2 linked regions of the Anolis sagrei genome follow. The protein of the gene in region 1 purifies or fractionates together with the protein of each later gene. This does not show direct contact. Links are inferred from orthologs where the notes say so. Each region holds a gene or a part of one and is shown in the gene's direction. Other genes may lie near its edges.

Region 1 (7,261 bases):
GAGCCTGCCACTTTTGGACTCTCGCTTGCTGAGGTGTTCCAGCGAGTGTCTCTGTAGATCTTAGAAAACTATTTCTAGATTTAAGTCGTTAAACGTCTGTCTGATTCCACAGCAAGCTGGCTTCAGGAAAGGCAAAAGCTTCACATTGCAAGTGTTGAACCTGACTCAGCACAGAGAAGATGGCTTTGAAAGGCAGCAGATCACAGGAGCTGTCTTCATAAATCTGTCAGCAGCCTATGATACTGTGAACCACCGCCTCCTCCTGAGAAAAATGTATAATATCATAAAGGACTACCACCTCACGCGCCTCATAGGAAACCTGCTACAAAACAGGAGCTTTTTTTGTTGAGTTCCAGAGCCAGAGAAGCAGATGGCGGAAACAGAAGAACGGCCTACCTTAGGGGAGCATGCTGGCCCCATCCATGTTCAACATTTACACAAATGACCAGCCACTGTCAGAAGTGACAGAGAGTTTCATCTATGCTGATGATTGTGCCATTACCACTCAAACAGGGAGCTTTGAGATGGTTGAACAGAAGCTCTCTGAAGCTCTAGGTGCTCTTACTGCCTATTACAGGAAAAATCAACTGATCCCTAATCTATCTAAAACACAGACATGTGCCTTTCACCTTAAGAAGAGACAATTATCCCGAGCTCTGAGGATCACCTGGGAAGGAATCCCACTGGAGCATTGCAGCACACCCAAATACCTGGAAGTCACTTTGGATCGTGCTCTGACCTACAAGAAGCACTGCCTGAACATCAAGCAAAAAGTGGGTGCTAGAAACAATATCATAGAAAGCTGACTGGCACAACCTGGGGATCACAACCAGACACAGTGAAGACATCCGCCCTTGTGCTGTGCTACTCTGCTGCTGAGTACGCATGCCCAGTGTGGAACACATCTCACCACACTAAAACAGTGGATGTGGCTCTTAATGAGTCATGCCGCATTATCATGGGGCGTCTGCGCTCTACATCACTGGAGAAATTACACTCCTTAGCCACTGTTGCACCACTTGACATCCGCCGGGAAGTAGCAGCCAATAGTGAAAGGACCAAGGCATTGCAGCAGGTAACATCTCCAACTCATCCCGTTTGGGTATCAGCCAGCACGTCAACGACTTAAATCAAGAAATAGTTTTCTAAGATATACAGAGACACTCGCTGGAACACCTCAGCAAGCGAGAGTTCAAAAGTGGCAGGCTCAAACCCAGCACCTCAATCCGTGGGTGATACCAGATGAGAGACTCCCTCCTGGGCACACCAAAGACTGGGCTACTTGGAAAGCGCTGAACAGACTGCGCTCTGGCACCACGAGATGCAGAGCCAACCTCAAGAAATGGGGCTACAAAGTGGAATCCATGACATGCGAGTGCAGAGAAAAGCAAACCACTGACCACCTGCTGCAATGCACCCTGAGCCCTGCCACATGCACAATGGAGGACCTTCAGGAAAGGCAACACCAGAGGCACTCCAAGTGGCCAGATACTGGTCAAAGGACATTTAATCAACTACCAAGTTTACAATTTTTTTCCTTTTTTAATGTTTGTTTGTTTGGTTCTGTTACAAATGTAATACAATGGTATGGCTGCTGATGACACGATAAATAAATAAATAACAACTGAACGAATGAACAACAACAACACAGTAAGCAATATAAAATGGAAGCTTTGGAAGCTTTAAAAGAGAGGCTGGATGGCCATCTGTCGGGGGTGCTTCTAAGGGCATATGCCGTGGCAATAAAGGCGGCAAAGAAATCTTTCTTTGCGGCCAATATTGCGTCCGCAAAGAACCGTCCGGCGGAGCTGTTTTGAGTTGTCAGAGGTCTATTAAACCACACCACTCCGGAGGGGAACCCTGACAACTCAACGGCCCGCTGTGAAGCATTTGCTCAGTTCTTTGCGGACAAAGTCGCTTTGATCCGTTCTGGCCTGGATACCATGTTAACGGCAGTCTCTGAGGATGTAACACGAGCACCTGCTTGTCCGATTTTGATGGATTCATTTCAATTGGTGAAACCCGAGGATGTGGACAAGATACTTGGAGGAATGAGAGCAAACACAGGCATCCTAGACCCCTGCCCATCCTGGCTCGTGAAGGAAGCCAGAGGGGGATTGGCCGAGTGGGTGGAAGTGGTGGTTAATGCCTCCCTTCGGGAAGGCAAAATTCCAGCCAGCTTAAAACAAACTGTAATAAAACCGCTGTTGAAAAAACCATCACTGGACCCCACTCAATTTGTCAACTATCATCCTGTTTCCAATCTCCCCTTTTTGGGCAAAGTCCTGGAACGTGTGGTGGCCTCACAACTTCAGGTATTCTTGGTAGACACGGATTATCTGGATCCGGCACAGTCTGGCTTTAGGCCGGGGCATGGTACCAAGACAGCCTTGGTCGCCTTAGTGGATGATCTCCGCCGGGAGCTAGACAGGGGGAATGTGTCCCTGTTGGTCCTGTTGGATCTCTCAGCGGCCTTCGATACCGTCGACCACGGTATCCTTCTGGGACGCCTCGCGGGAATGGGCCTTGGTGGCACTGTTTTGCAGTGGCTCAGGTCCTTCCTAGAGGATCGTACCCAGAAGGTGTTGATGGGGGACAACTGCTCGTCCTCACAACCATTGTCTTGTGGGGCCCCGCAGGGTTCAATACTGTCCCCCATGTTGTTTAACATCTACATGAAGCCGTTGGGAGAGATCATCCGGAGTTTCGGGGTGCGGTGTTATCTGTACGCAGATGATGTCCAACTCTGTCACTCCTTTCCACCTACTACTAAGGAGGCTGTTCAGGTCCTGAACCGGTGCTTGGCCGCTGTGTCGGACTGGATGAGGGCTAACAAATTGAAATTGAATCCAGAGAAGACAGAGGCACTCCTGGTCAGTCGCAAGGCCGAACAGGGTATAGGGTTACAGCCTGTGTTGGACGGGGTCACACTCCCCCTGAAGACACAGGTTCACAGCTTGGGTGTGATCCTGGATTCATCACTGAGTCTGGAACCCCAGGTCTCGGCGGTGACCAGGGGAGCATTTGCACAATTAAAACTTGTGCGCCAGCTGAGCCCGTACCTTGGGAAGTCTGACTTGGCCACGGTAGTCCACGCTCTGGTTACATCCTGTATAGATTACTGCAACGCGCTCTATGTGGGGCTGCCCTTGAAGACTTCCCGGAAGCTTCAGATGGTCCAGCGCTCGGCAGCCAGGTTGTTAACAGGAGCGGCACTCAGGGAGCATACCACTCCTCTGTTGAGCCAGCTCCACTGGCTGCCAATCCGCTACCGGGCACAATTCAGGTGCTGGCGTTAGCCTACAAAGCCCTAAACGGTTCCGGCCCCACTTACCTCTCCGAACGCATCTCCACCTATGAACCGACGTGGACGTTAAGATCAGGCACGGCTGGCGGGGACGAAGGACAGGGCCTTCTCGGTGGTGGCCCTTCGGCTATGGAATGCCCTACCTGTAGACATCAGACAGGCCCCTTCGCTGCTGGCGTTTCGGAAGAAGGTTAAGACTTGGCTCTACGAGCAAGCGTTTGGCTAAACGGTGCAACTGAACACAGGAAGACGGTAAAATTGAACATAGGAATGGCACAAGGATTATGAGAATGGATTTTGCTCTGTTATCGAGGCGTTATGAATTGATAATAATTGTTGATTTTGTTGCTGTGTATGATGTGTTTTAACTGTTTATTGTTGTGATAACCTGCATTGTGTAAACCGCATTGAGTCGCCTAATTTAGGCTGAAAAATGCGGTATAGAAATAAAGCAAATAAATAAATAAATAAATGCGATTTTCCTCCTTCTTGGCAGGGGGTTGGACTGGATAGCTCACGAGGTCTCTTCCAATTCTGTGATTCTATGAAATGCCAGCGTCCCCTAATTTTGGAATGACTTTTGAACCATTTTCAGCCCTAAAACACAAGCCTTCCTCCACGCGCTGACCAAATGTGATAGGCCGCTGTGGTTGCTAGGCTACCGCTGTCCAGCCCTCTTGCGCAGGCGCGTTGACCTTTGCCTGCTCCGTTACGACGTGACGACCCAAAAAAACAAAAACAACTTCGACGCGTTGAAGACGCTATGGAGGTTGCGCACGCGCAGTGCCGGCCCCTGAATCAAGTTCCGACGAGAAGGGAGGGTGTTGGGAGCCTCCGCCCCGCCCCTTTGGTTTGAGGGCGGGCGCAGGGGCCAATCAGGTGCCACGCACGCGCTCCCTGGCAGGCGTAGGGGCCAATCAGGTGCTGCGCACGCGCTCCCAAGCAGGCGCCCGTCCTCCTCCTCCTTCCTTCTCCTCCTCTGAGAGGAAGCCTTGGTGCGGCCCGCTCCCCTCTCGGAGCGTCGGGGGAGATGCGCTGAGCCGGAGCCGGGATGTCGGGGAGCCGGCAGCCGCCTCAGCACTCCGCGGCCGGGCCTCCTCCCCCGGGGTCCTCCTCCACGTCCTCCCCTTCGGTCACCACCTCGGCCTCTTCGGGCACTGCTTCGGCGGCTTCGGGCGCCTCGTCCTCTTCCGCCTCAGTGGGGCTGGGGGCCCCTGCGCGGCCTGTCTTGGTGGCGGCCGCTGCCTCGGGCTCTTCCTCCAGCAGTGCAGGCCTGGCTCGCCTGGCGGGGGGAGGCCGGGCTGGGAGCAGCGGCCCAGGCAGCGCCAACAGCAGCAGCAGGAAGAGGCCACTGCTGACGCCGCTCTGCAATGGCCTCCTGAACTCCTACGAAGACAAAAGCAACGACTTCGTGTGGTGAGCGAGGGGCGCCCAGATGGGGAAGGAGCGGGGGAGGGGGAGAAGGCTAGCCATTGCTTACCTGCCTCCTCTTCAGTTGCTACAGCGAGTCTTGGCCTTACATACACCCATCTTGCAGGTCACTCCTATGCGCCCCATCTTTGGTCCTTTAGCTCCCAGAATTCCTCAAGGTTTAATCTATCTATATATATAAATACTAGCTGTCCCCTGCCACGCGTTGCTGTGGCCCAGTCTGGTGATCTGGAAATGAAGTAATGAGAATGTGTTGGTTTCTAATATATGTGATTTCTTAATGTTTCTGAGTAAACAGTATTTCTTGCTGTTTCTTTGCCAGTGTTGATGTGGAGATTGTCTGGTTTGCCTACTCTGGAACATGTAACATATCATTGTCCTTTTTTCGGGGTTCCCTTTGAAATCTTTGGTACTGCATCTGTCATATGTGTGTGTGTGTGTGAATGGCTGGATGGCCCTTTGTCAGGAGGGCTTTGTTTTATTTACTTTATTTATTTACTTTGCTTATATATCGCTGTTCTCAGCCTGGGGGCGACTCACAGCGGTGTACAACATAGAAAGAACAAAATTCAACAATTCAAGACATAATATAAAATTCACATCCAGCATTAAACAAAAACATCATCATCAAAAACATCATCATCAAAAACATCAACATTACTACAAAAGCCATTCCGTGTCGTCTCATCGTCAAACCCACAATCTGGTATCATTTCCGTTGTTCCATTCCTATGGTCAAATTACCAATCACTTCTTGTTCAAATGCCTTCTTAAATAGCCAGGTCTTTAATTTCCTGCGGAATATCAACAGGGAGGGAGCTAGCCTGATGTCCACGGGAAGAGCGTTCCACAGCCGAGGCGCCACCACCGAGAAGGCCCTATCTCTCGTCCCCGCCAGCCGTGCCTGTTAAGCAGGCGGGATCGAGAGCAGAGCCTCCCCGGAAGATCTCAAAGTCCTCGTGGGCTCATAGGCCGAGAGGCGGTCAGTTAGGTATCTTGGGCCGGAACCGTTTAGGGCTTTATAGGCCAATGCCAGCAATTTGTATTGAGCCCGGTAGCAGATCGGCAGCCAGTGGAGCTGGTACAGTAGGGGGGGTTGTATGCTCCCTGCGTCCCGCTCCTGTTAGTATCATGGCTGCCGCCCGTTGGACCAGTTGGAGCTTCCTTGTTGTTTCTTTGCCAGTGGAGATTGTCTGGTTTGCTTTAGGGGTCCCTTTCAAATCTTTGATATACATCTGTCATATACACACATATATATATGTGTGTGTGTGAATGGCTGGATGGCGCTTTGTCAGGAGGGCTTTGTTTTGTTGCCCTGGTGAAGGGAGCTGGACTGGATGGCCTTAAGGCAGCATTTCTCAACCTGGGAAGTCAATACACCAAGGGGGGGGGGTCACCAGGGGGGTGTCAGAAGGGTCACCAAAGACCACCAGGAAACACAGTATTTCCTTTTGGTCATGGGGGTTTTGTGTGGGATGTTTGTCCCAATTCCATCGTTGGTGAGGTTTGGAATGCTCCTTGATTGTAGGTGAACTATAAATCCCAGTAACTACAACTTCCAAATGTCAAGGTCTATTTCCCCCAAACGCCATCTGTGTTTATATTTGGGCATATTGAATATTCATGCCAAATTTGGTCCAGATCCATCATTGTTTGAGTCCACAGTGCTCTCTGGATATATGTGAACTATAACTCCCAAACTCAAGGTCAATGCCCTCCAAACCTTTCCAGTATTTTCTGTTGGTCATGGGAGTTCTGTGTGCCAAGTTTGGTTCAAGTCCATCGTTGGTGGAGTTCAGAATGCTCTTTGATTGTAGGTCAACTATAAATCCCAGCAACTACAACTCCCAAATGACAAAACCATAATGTTTTGATTGATGGTCACTCCTTGTGTAGAGAGACATTTTGTTGCCAAATTTGGTGTGATTTTGCCCATTAGTTCTTTTGTTTTTAAGGTACTCATGCACAGAGCATATATAGATAGATAGATAGATAGATAGATAAATGTAATGTTTGTTTGTGGGGTTAACATAACTCAAAAACCACTGGACAAATTGATACCAATTTTAGACACAACACACCTTTCAGGCCAACAAGTGACCATCACTCCTAAAAACACTGAAATATACAGCAGAAGAGACTTAAAAAGCAAAAATATAAAATAAAATAATGCTACAACGCACATGCAAAACAACATACACATATGATGGTAATCTATAAAATAAAAATGTAATGTTCCTTTGTGGGATTGACATAACTCAAAGACAACTGGGCGAATTGACACCAAATTTGGACACAATATGCCCATCAGGCCAACGAGTGACCATCACTCAAAAACATTGATTTTGTCATTTGGGAGTTGTAGTTGCTGGGATTTATAGTTCGCCTACAATCAAAGAGCATTCTGAACTCTATCAACAATGGAATTGAGCCAAACTTTGCACACAGAACTCCCATGACTAACAAAAATACTGGAAGGGTTTGGTGGGCATTGACCTTGAGTTTTGGAGTTGTAGTTCACCT
Region 2 (7,113 bases), on another chromosome or scaffold:
AATGCCTTGAAGGCACACAACTACAACATCAACATGAAAGACACAACTCCATCCAAACCTTCACATATGGACTGAAAAGACCAAAGGGGGCTATTTTCAGGAAGATCACATTGTAGAGTTAAGCAATTGTGACCTTCTTAATGCTCTTGTATTTCAAAACCTATCATCCTTGGCCATTGGCCATGTTCAGTACTTCTGATGGGAGCTGAATAACAATAGGAAAATTACTGTTGCCCATCCCTTCAAGCAATAATCCATACAAACAGATTCATGAACTGAACTAAGGCTGTAATGAAAAAAGAGTTTGCCCCAGGTGAAGCCTAGATTGCCAAACCGACACATGCATCATGAAGGTCAGCTTGACTGCATCAGACAGGTATAGTATCTGACAGGTGTGGTGAGATAGGACACATCTGTGAGGTGCTGTGTTCATCTAGAAGAGATGATGCAGTTGCTTCACCAAGTGCCACATGTGAGCTAAGTCACTACCGAGCAATCACTATCCTATAACTGCAGTTCAACCCAAATTTGCACAATCCTCAGGTGCATCACACCCATTTGGTCTTCAGATAGTAATCAGTAAATGTAAAATAGTTGTAGGTAGGCAGTACTTTCAGAAAGTGATATGCCCTGAGCGTGGCAGTGAAGTAAGTGTGGGCTGACCTCAGGCTTGCATAAACATGGTAATGTATTTTAATTTCAACTATAGAAGAAATTATAAAAGAAGTTATACTTCTGCAGTTTCCTGATATGCCTTGAATTCATAAAGCAGGAGTGAGTACTGTACTCAGGATCTCTTCTAAAAAGGCCTATTAATATTAAATTGCTATGGAGGATCAGGTCTATGGCCTAGAAAAGGCGATGCTATGGTTGATATAAACAAAAGCATCTTCCAGCCATGGAATCATAGAAACATAAAGTTGGAAGAGACCGTATGGGCCATCTAGTCCAACCCCCTGCCAAGAAGCAGGAAAATCACATTCAAAGTATTCCCAACAGGTGGCCATCCAACCTCTGTTTAAAAGCTTCCAAAGAAGGAGCCTCCACCACACTCCGGGGCAGAGAGTTCCACTACTGAACAGCTCTCACAAATGGAACAATCAGGTAGTTGGTTCCAATATTAACCCCTGATAACCTTAAACCACTTTGTCCTGACCAAGACTAAGATTTCATTTACAAGTAAAATAACTACTACTTACGACACATTTTATTTTCCTATTGCACACAATATGCCCAGCTACACCTTGGAATAATGTCTATATTTAATAATATGGTAATGGTGTCTTTTGGATTTTGTGTTCCTCATTTTCTCAACTGTTTAATAAAAAAAATGTTCTTCACTAAAGTCTATGGCCCATGCATTAAAAAAAACTGTTTCTTGCTGCACAATTTCTTTCCCTGTTGTATACAAGCTACACCTTGGAAAAACATATCCTGAGCAAAGAGAGTGACTCTCAAGGTAAAGGTTTCCCCTGACATTAAGTCTAATTATGTCTGACTCTGGTGAATGGTGCTCATCTCCATTTCTAAGCCGAAGAGCCTGTGTTGTCCATAGACGCCTCTAAAGTCATGTGGCCAGCATGACTTGCATGGAGCGCCATTACCTTCCCGCAGAAGCAGTACCTATTGATCTACTCACAATTGCATGTTTTCAAACTGCTAGGTTGGCAGAAGCTGCGCCTAACAGTGGGAGTTCACCCACTCCCCTGGATTCAAACCACCAACCTTCTGATCAGCAAGCTTAGCGGTTTGACCCGCTGCACCACAGGAGAGTGGGGAAAGCTTGCAGTTCAAGTGGGAGTTGACACCAGGTATTATTTTCCTAAGTTATGTAGGTTGGTGTCAAACTTCATTATTTCTACAGTGTAGATCAGGCTTGGGAAAATTTCAACTCAGCTTAAGTGGCTGAGGGGAGAAAGCAAAGGGCCTGAGGCTGTTAGGAATTGTGGGCGTTGAAGTCCAAAACACAAGGAGGGCCGAAGTTTGCCTAAGCCTGGCGTAGATGCCCGCCTAAAAATGAAACACTCTTGAAATATTCCCCATGTTGATTCTTCTCCTGAGGAGGTTATACCAGCGTTTTAAATATATTTGTACTCATCCATAAAGATGAAAGGAAGGTTTCAATTGTTTTAATACCCGAATAAATCAATGCAAAGAGTGTAGGGGAGTGGCTTTCTTTTATTTTTGTATTGTAATTGCCATTCTAACCTGCTGAAAAGAAACTGGAGGAAACCCTCCTGATCTAATGCATCCTAAGTTCAGAAATACTGTAAATTCCCCAGTGTTGCACAAGCATTGCTGTCTTCCAGATGCAAGTTTAATCCTACAGACTTCAAGGAGACTGAAACAAGTTAATAGAAGGAGCAGGGCATCTATTTAAGAGTGGCAAACTATGGGGCAAATAGTGTAGAATTAATGCAGTTTGGTACCACCTTTGGTACCACCTTAATAGACACACACACACACGCACACACACGATATCTATATAAATAAAAATGTAATGTTCGTTTGTGGGATTAACAGAACTCAAAAACCGCTGGATGAATTGACACCAAATTTGGGCACAAGACACCTAACAACCCAATGTATGTCCTTCACTAAAAAAAAAAATTGATTTTGTCATTTGGGAATTGTAGTTGCTGAGATTTATAGTTCACCTACAATCAAAGAGCATTCTGAACTCCATCAACGATGGAACTGAACCGAACTTGGCACACAGTTCTCCCATGACCAACAGAAAGTCCTGGAAGGGTTTTGTGGGCAGTGTCCTTTGCTTTTGGAGTTGTAGTTCATCTACATCCAGAGATCACTGTGGACTCAAACAATGATGGATCTGGACCAAACTCTACACGAATACTCAATATGCCCAAATGTGAACACTGGTAGAGTTTGGGGAAAATAGAATCTTGACATTTGGGAGTTGTAGTTGCTGGGATTTATAGTTCACCTACAATCACAGAGCATTCTGAACCCCACCAATGATAGAATTGGGCCAAACCTCCCACACAGAACCCCCATGACTAACACAGCAACGCGTGGCAGGGGACAGCTAGTATATATATACACACACACTATATACACACACGCATATATATTTATATATCTGTGTGTGTGTGTGATGTTTGTTTGTGAGATTAACATAACTCAAAAACCACTGGACTAATTGACACCAAATTTGGACACAACACACGTATCAGGCCATAAAAACACTGAAAAACAGAGCAGAAGAGACTTAAAAAGCCAAAAAAAACCCCAAAAATACATTACAACACATGTGCAAAACCACATATATACACAAAACACATATATACACAAAAACACAAACATATACGCACATATATACACACACAAAACACATATGCACAGACTGGGCCACAACAACGCGTGGCAGGGGACGGCTAGTATATATATATAGAGAGAGAGAGAGAGAGCCATAGTTAAGATAAACAAAATAGGGAGTGAGTGGCCTTTTGTGGCAATCTCTGCCAAATTTCCGAATATGATATTGCAACAGGGAAAGTGCCCCAAACACACACACACACACAATAATTCAAGGCAGGGCAAACTCTGGTCATAGCCAGATCAGAACAATTCGTAGCCTAGTTGGCAAAGAGAAATTGTGCGTGGTCCCTTTAAGTCTCTCTTTGCTTCTGCCTCATCCCCAGGACGCTATAGAGCTCTCTTTCTTTTATGAATGAAAACGCTCCTCGAAGCAGTATGTAAATCACGGCTTTATAGCCCCTTCCTTATAGCTTGCAACAAAAAAAGGGTGCGCTGTGCCTTTAAATCTCTCCTCGCTTCTGCCTCACCCTCGGAACGCGATATATATCTCCTCTCTCTTTTTTTTATGAATGAAAACGCTCCTCGAAACAGTATGTAAATCAGAGCCGCCTTGATTGGCTGCCTCTCCCCCGAGGGGAGGGTGAAACCCCCTTCCACACTCCATCGTTGCCAGGAGGCGGGATTAGAACGCCGCTCTGGGCAACGGCGACCATTCATAAACTGGGAGGCGGCCTCACCTCCGAGCTTCATTGGCGGCCCGGTAGGGTAAACAAGCTGGGATTGACAACCGCTGGCAGGGCTGCGGGCCAATGGCGGGCGGGCGCGAAGGCGGGCTCTGGAGGCCGCTCGGGGGCTCCGGCTGCAAACCCGGCGGAGACACGGGGCTTCGAGCGGCAGCGAGGCGGTTCTCTATGGGGCAGGTGAGAGCCCTCCAAAGAGAGCCCTATTCGCACGGAGGAGGGGAGGGAAGGGCTTTCGAGGGGAAGGCGGGGGTGCAGGTGCTAATATTGGGGTGCAAGCTTCGCTAGAGCGGGGCCTGGAAGGAGGCGAAGTCTTGGGGGGCTGGAGCCCGGAGGGATTTGGTGGAGGAGCCCAAGGCACTGGCTCTGCGCGGTGGAAGCGACGCTGTGGGTTGTTTTTTCCCCTTGGCTGGATGTGGGCGCTTTTTATGAATGGAGCTGGCTCTTTTTTTTCTGTGAATGGAGCCTGGAGGGCGGGGGCGGCGTTCTGGAGAGGGGTGGCGTTTCGTGAATGGAGCGAGCTGGAAAGTGCGCCGCTGGAGGGGGGGAGAAGGAGAGCTCTCTCTAGGCATACATGGTGAAGGGGGACCTTGCGCCGGGATCGGGTTACACTCTACCTGCTCCTCCACCTCGGCCATTCATAAAAGTTAGGCCAGATTCGCGAATGGGGGAGAAGAAGAAATAGGGCTTTGGGGCTTTTTTCCTCGCGTTGAGTCCCAGGAATGCAGCCTTGCTTTGTAAAAAAAAATAGTGTCTTGCCGTCGTGACTTTAAAATCTTGGAGATGGATGAGGTTATTAAAAGAGTCTCGAAAAGGTCTTGAGCAGTTGGCAGGGACCTCTTCATCGTCTTATTATCATTACTCTTATTTCATATTATTTTTATATTAATATATTATATTATAATATTATAATATATATTATTATATTATATATTTTATTTAATAAATATTATATTATATATCATATTATTTTATATTATAATATTTTATAAACATATTTATATTATAATGTAATAGAATATATTATATATTTTCATTTAATAAATATTATTATATTATATATCATATTATTATTTTATAATATAATATTTTATAAATATATTTATATTATAATACAATAGGTCTTGAGCAGTTGGCAGGGACCTCTTCTTCGTCTTATTATCATCACTCTTATTTCATATTATTTTTATATTAATATATTATAATACAATAGGTCTTGAGCAGTTGGCAAGGACCTCTTCTTCGTCTTATTATCATCACTCTTATTCCATATCATTTTTATATTAATATATTATAGATATTATATTATATTATATATCATATTATTTTATATTATAATATTATTTTATAAATATATTTATATTATAATACAATAGGTCTTGAGCAGTTGGCAAGGACCTCTTCTTCGTCTTATTATCATCACTCTTATTCCATATCATTTTTATATTAATATATTATAGATATTATATTATATTATATATCATATTATTTTATATTATAATATTATTTTATAAATATATTTATATTATAATACAATAGGTCTTGAGCAGTTGGCAAGGACCTCTTCTTCGTCTTATTATCATCACTCTTATTCCATATCATTTTTATATTAATATATTATAGATATTATATTATATTATATATCATATTATTTTATATTATAATATTATTTTATAAATATATTTATAATGTAATAGAATATATTATATATTTTCATTTAATAAATATTATTATATTATATATTATATTATATATCATATTATTATTTTATATTATAATATAATATTTTATAAATATATTTATAATAGAATAGAATATATTATATTATATATTTTCATTTAATTGTAATTTTATTATATTATATATTATTAAATTATTATTTTATATTATTATTTCTTTTCTTAAAGGAGACTTTGAAAAAAATAATCTTTATTAGCATACATAAGTATAAGAATAGGAAATATATATATAATGTAAAATAAAAGGAGAGAACAACAAAACAACAGAAAAGAGGAGGAAAAGAGAGAAAAAAGTGAGGTAATAAGTGTAATGTGAAAAGTCTAAAAAGGAAAATAAAGTAGTGAAAGTAAAAAATAGAAAGATTTATTATATGTTTTTATAGAATATTAAATATCAATATTTAATATTTATATATTATGTTATATTATATATTATTTTATCTTATTATTATTATATCCTATCTTAAAGGAGCTTGCAACAGTTGATCCAGTGGGACAGTGAAATTTTCCCAAAGTTTATGAATCCACACATTTTCCCCAAAGTATTATTATTATCATATTTATATCCTACTTCCCTCCCTTAAAGGAGATTTTAAAGCATTGCTGGCAACAGTTAGTCTCGTGAGACAGTCAGATTCAGTACCTCCTCTCTCCCAAAGGTTATGAAATGACTCATTTTCCTCAAATTATTATTATTATATCCCAATTTTCAGGAGATTTTTTAATTGTCATTTGCAACAATTAGTCTGGTGAGATAGTCAGATTTATAATCAGTGCCTCCTCTCCCCCAAATGGCTTGTTTTCCTCAAATAATAATAATAATAATAATAATAATAATTATCAGTGCCTCCTTCCCCCAAATGGCTTGTTTTCCTCAAATTATTATTATTATTACTATTATTACTATTATTATCAGTTCCTCCTTTCCCCCAAATGGCTTGTCCTCCTCAAAATATTATTATTATTATTATTATTATTATTATCAGTTCCTCCTTTCCCCCAAATGGCTTGTTTTCCTCAAATTATTATTATTATTACTACTATTATTATCAGTTCCTCCTTTCCCCCAAATGGCATGTTTTCCTCAAATTATTATTATTATTACTACTATTATTATCAGTTCCTCCTTTCCCCCAAATGGCATGTTTTCCTCAAATTATTATTATTATTACTACGATTATTATCAGTTCCTCCTTTCCCCCAAATGGCTTGTCCTCCTCAAAATGTTATTATTATTATTATCATCATCATCATCAGTGCCTCCTTTCCCCCAAATGGCTTGTTCTCCTCAAATTATTATTATCATCATCATCAGTGCCTCCTCTCCCCCAAATGCCTTGTTTTCCTAAAAT

What was found.
Region 2: the proteins of COP1 (region 1) and ETV5 purify together in Homo sapiens (affinity purification with mass spectrometry; 6 studies listed by BioGRID and IntAct, counting the BioPlex papers as one, with this or other methods). This does not show direct contact. The link is inferred for Anolis sagrei from reciprocal best matches to the Homo sapiens genes COP1 and ETV5.

The regions. Positions count from the first base shown.
Region 1 is NC_090024.1:128,579,066-128,586,326, forward strand, and holds the start of COP1 (E3 ubiquitin-protein ligase COP1), read left to right. Parts: upstream 1-4,260; 5' UTR 4,261-4,358; coding exon 4,359-4,723; intron 4,724-7,261. UniProt on the Homo sapiens protein: E3 ubiquitin-protein ligase that mediates ubiquitination and subsequent proteasomal degradation of target proteins.
Region 2 is NC_090023.1:222,984,385-222,991,497, reverse strand, and holds the start of ETV5 (ETS translocation variant 5), read left to right. Parts: upstream 1-4,097; 5' UTR 4,098-4,202; intron 4,203-7,113. UniProt on the Homo sapiens protein: Binds to DNA sequences containing the consensus nucleotide core sequence 5'-GGAA.-3'.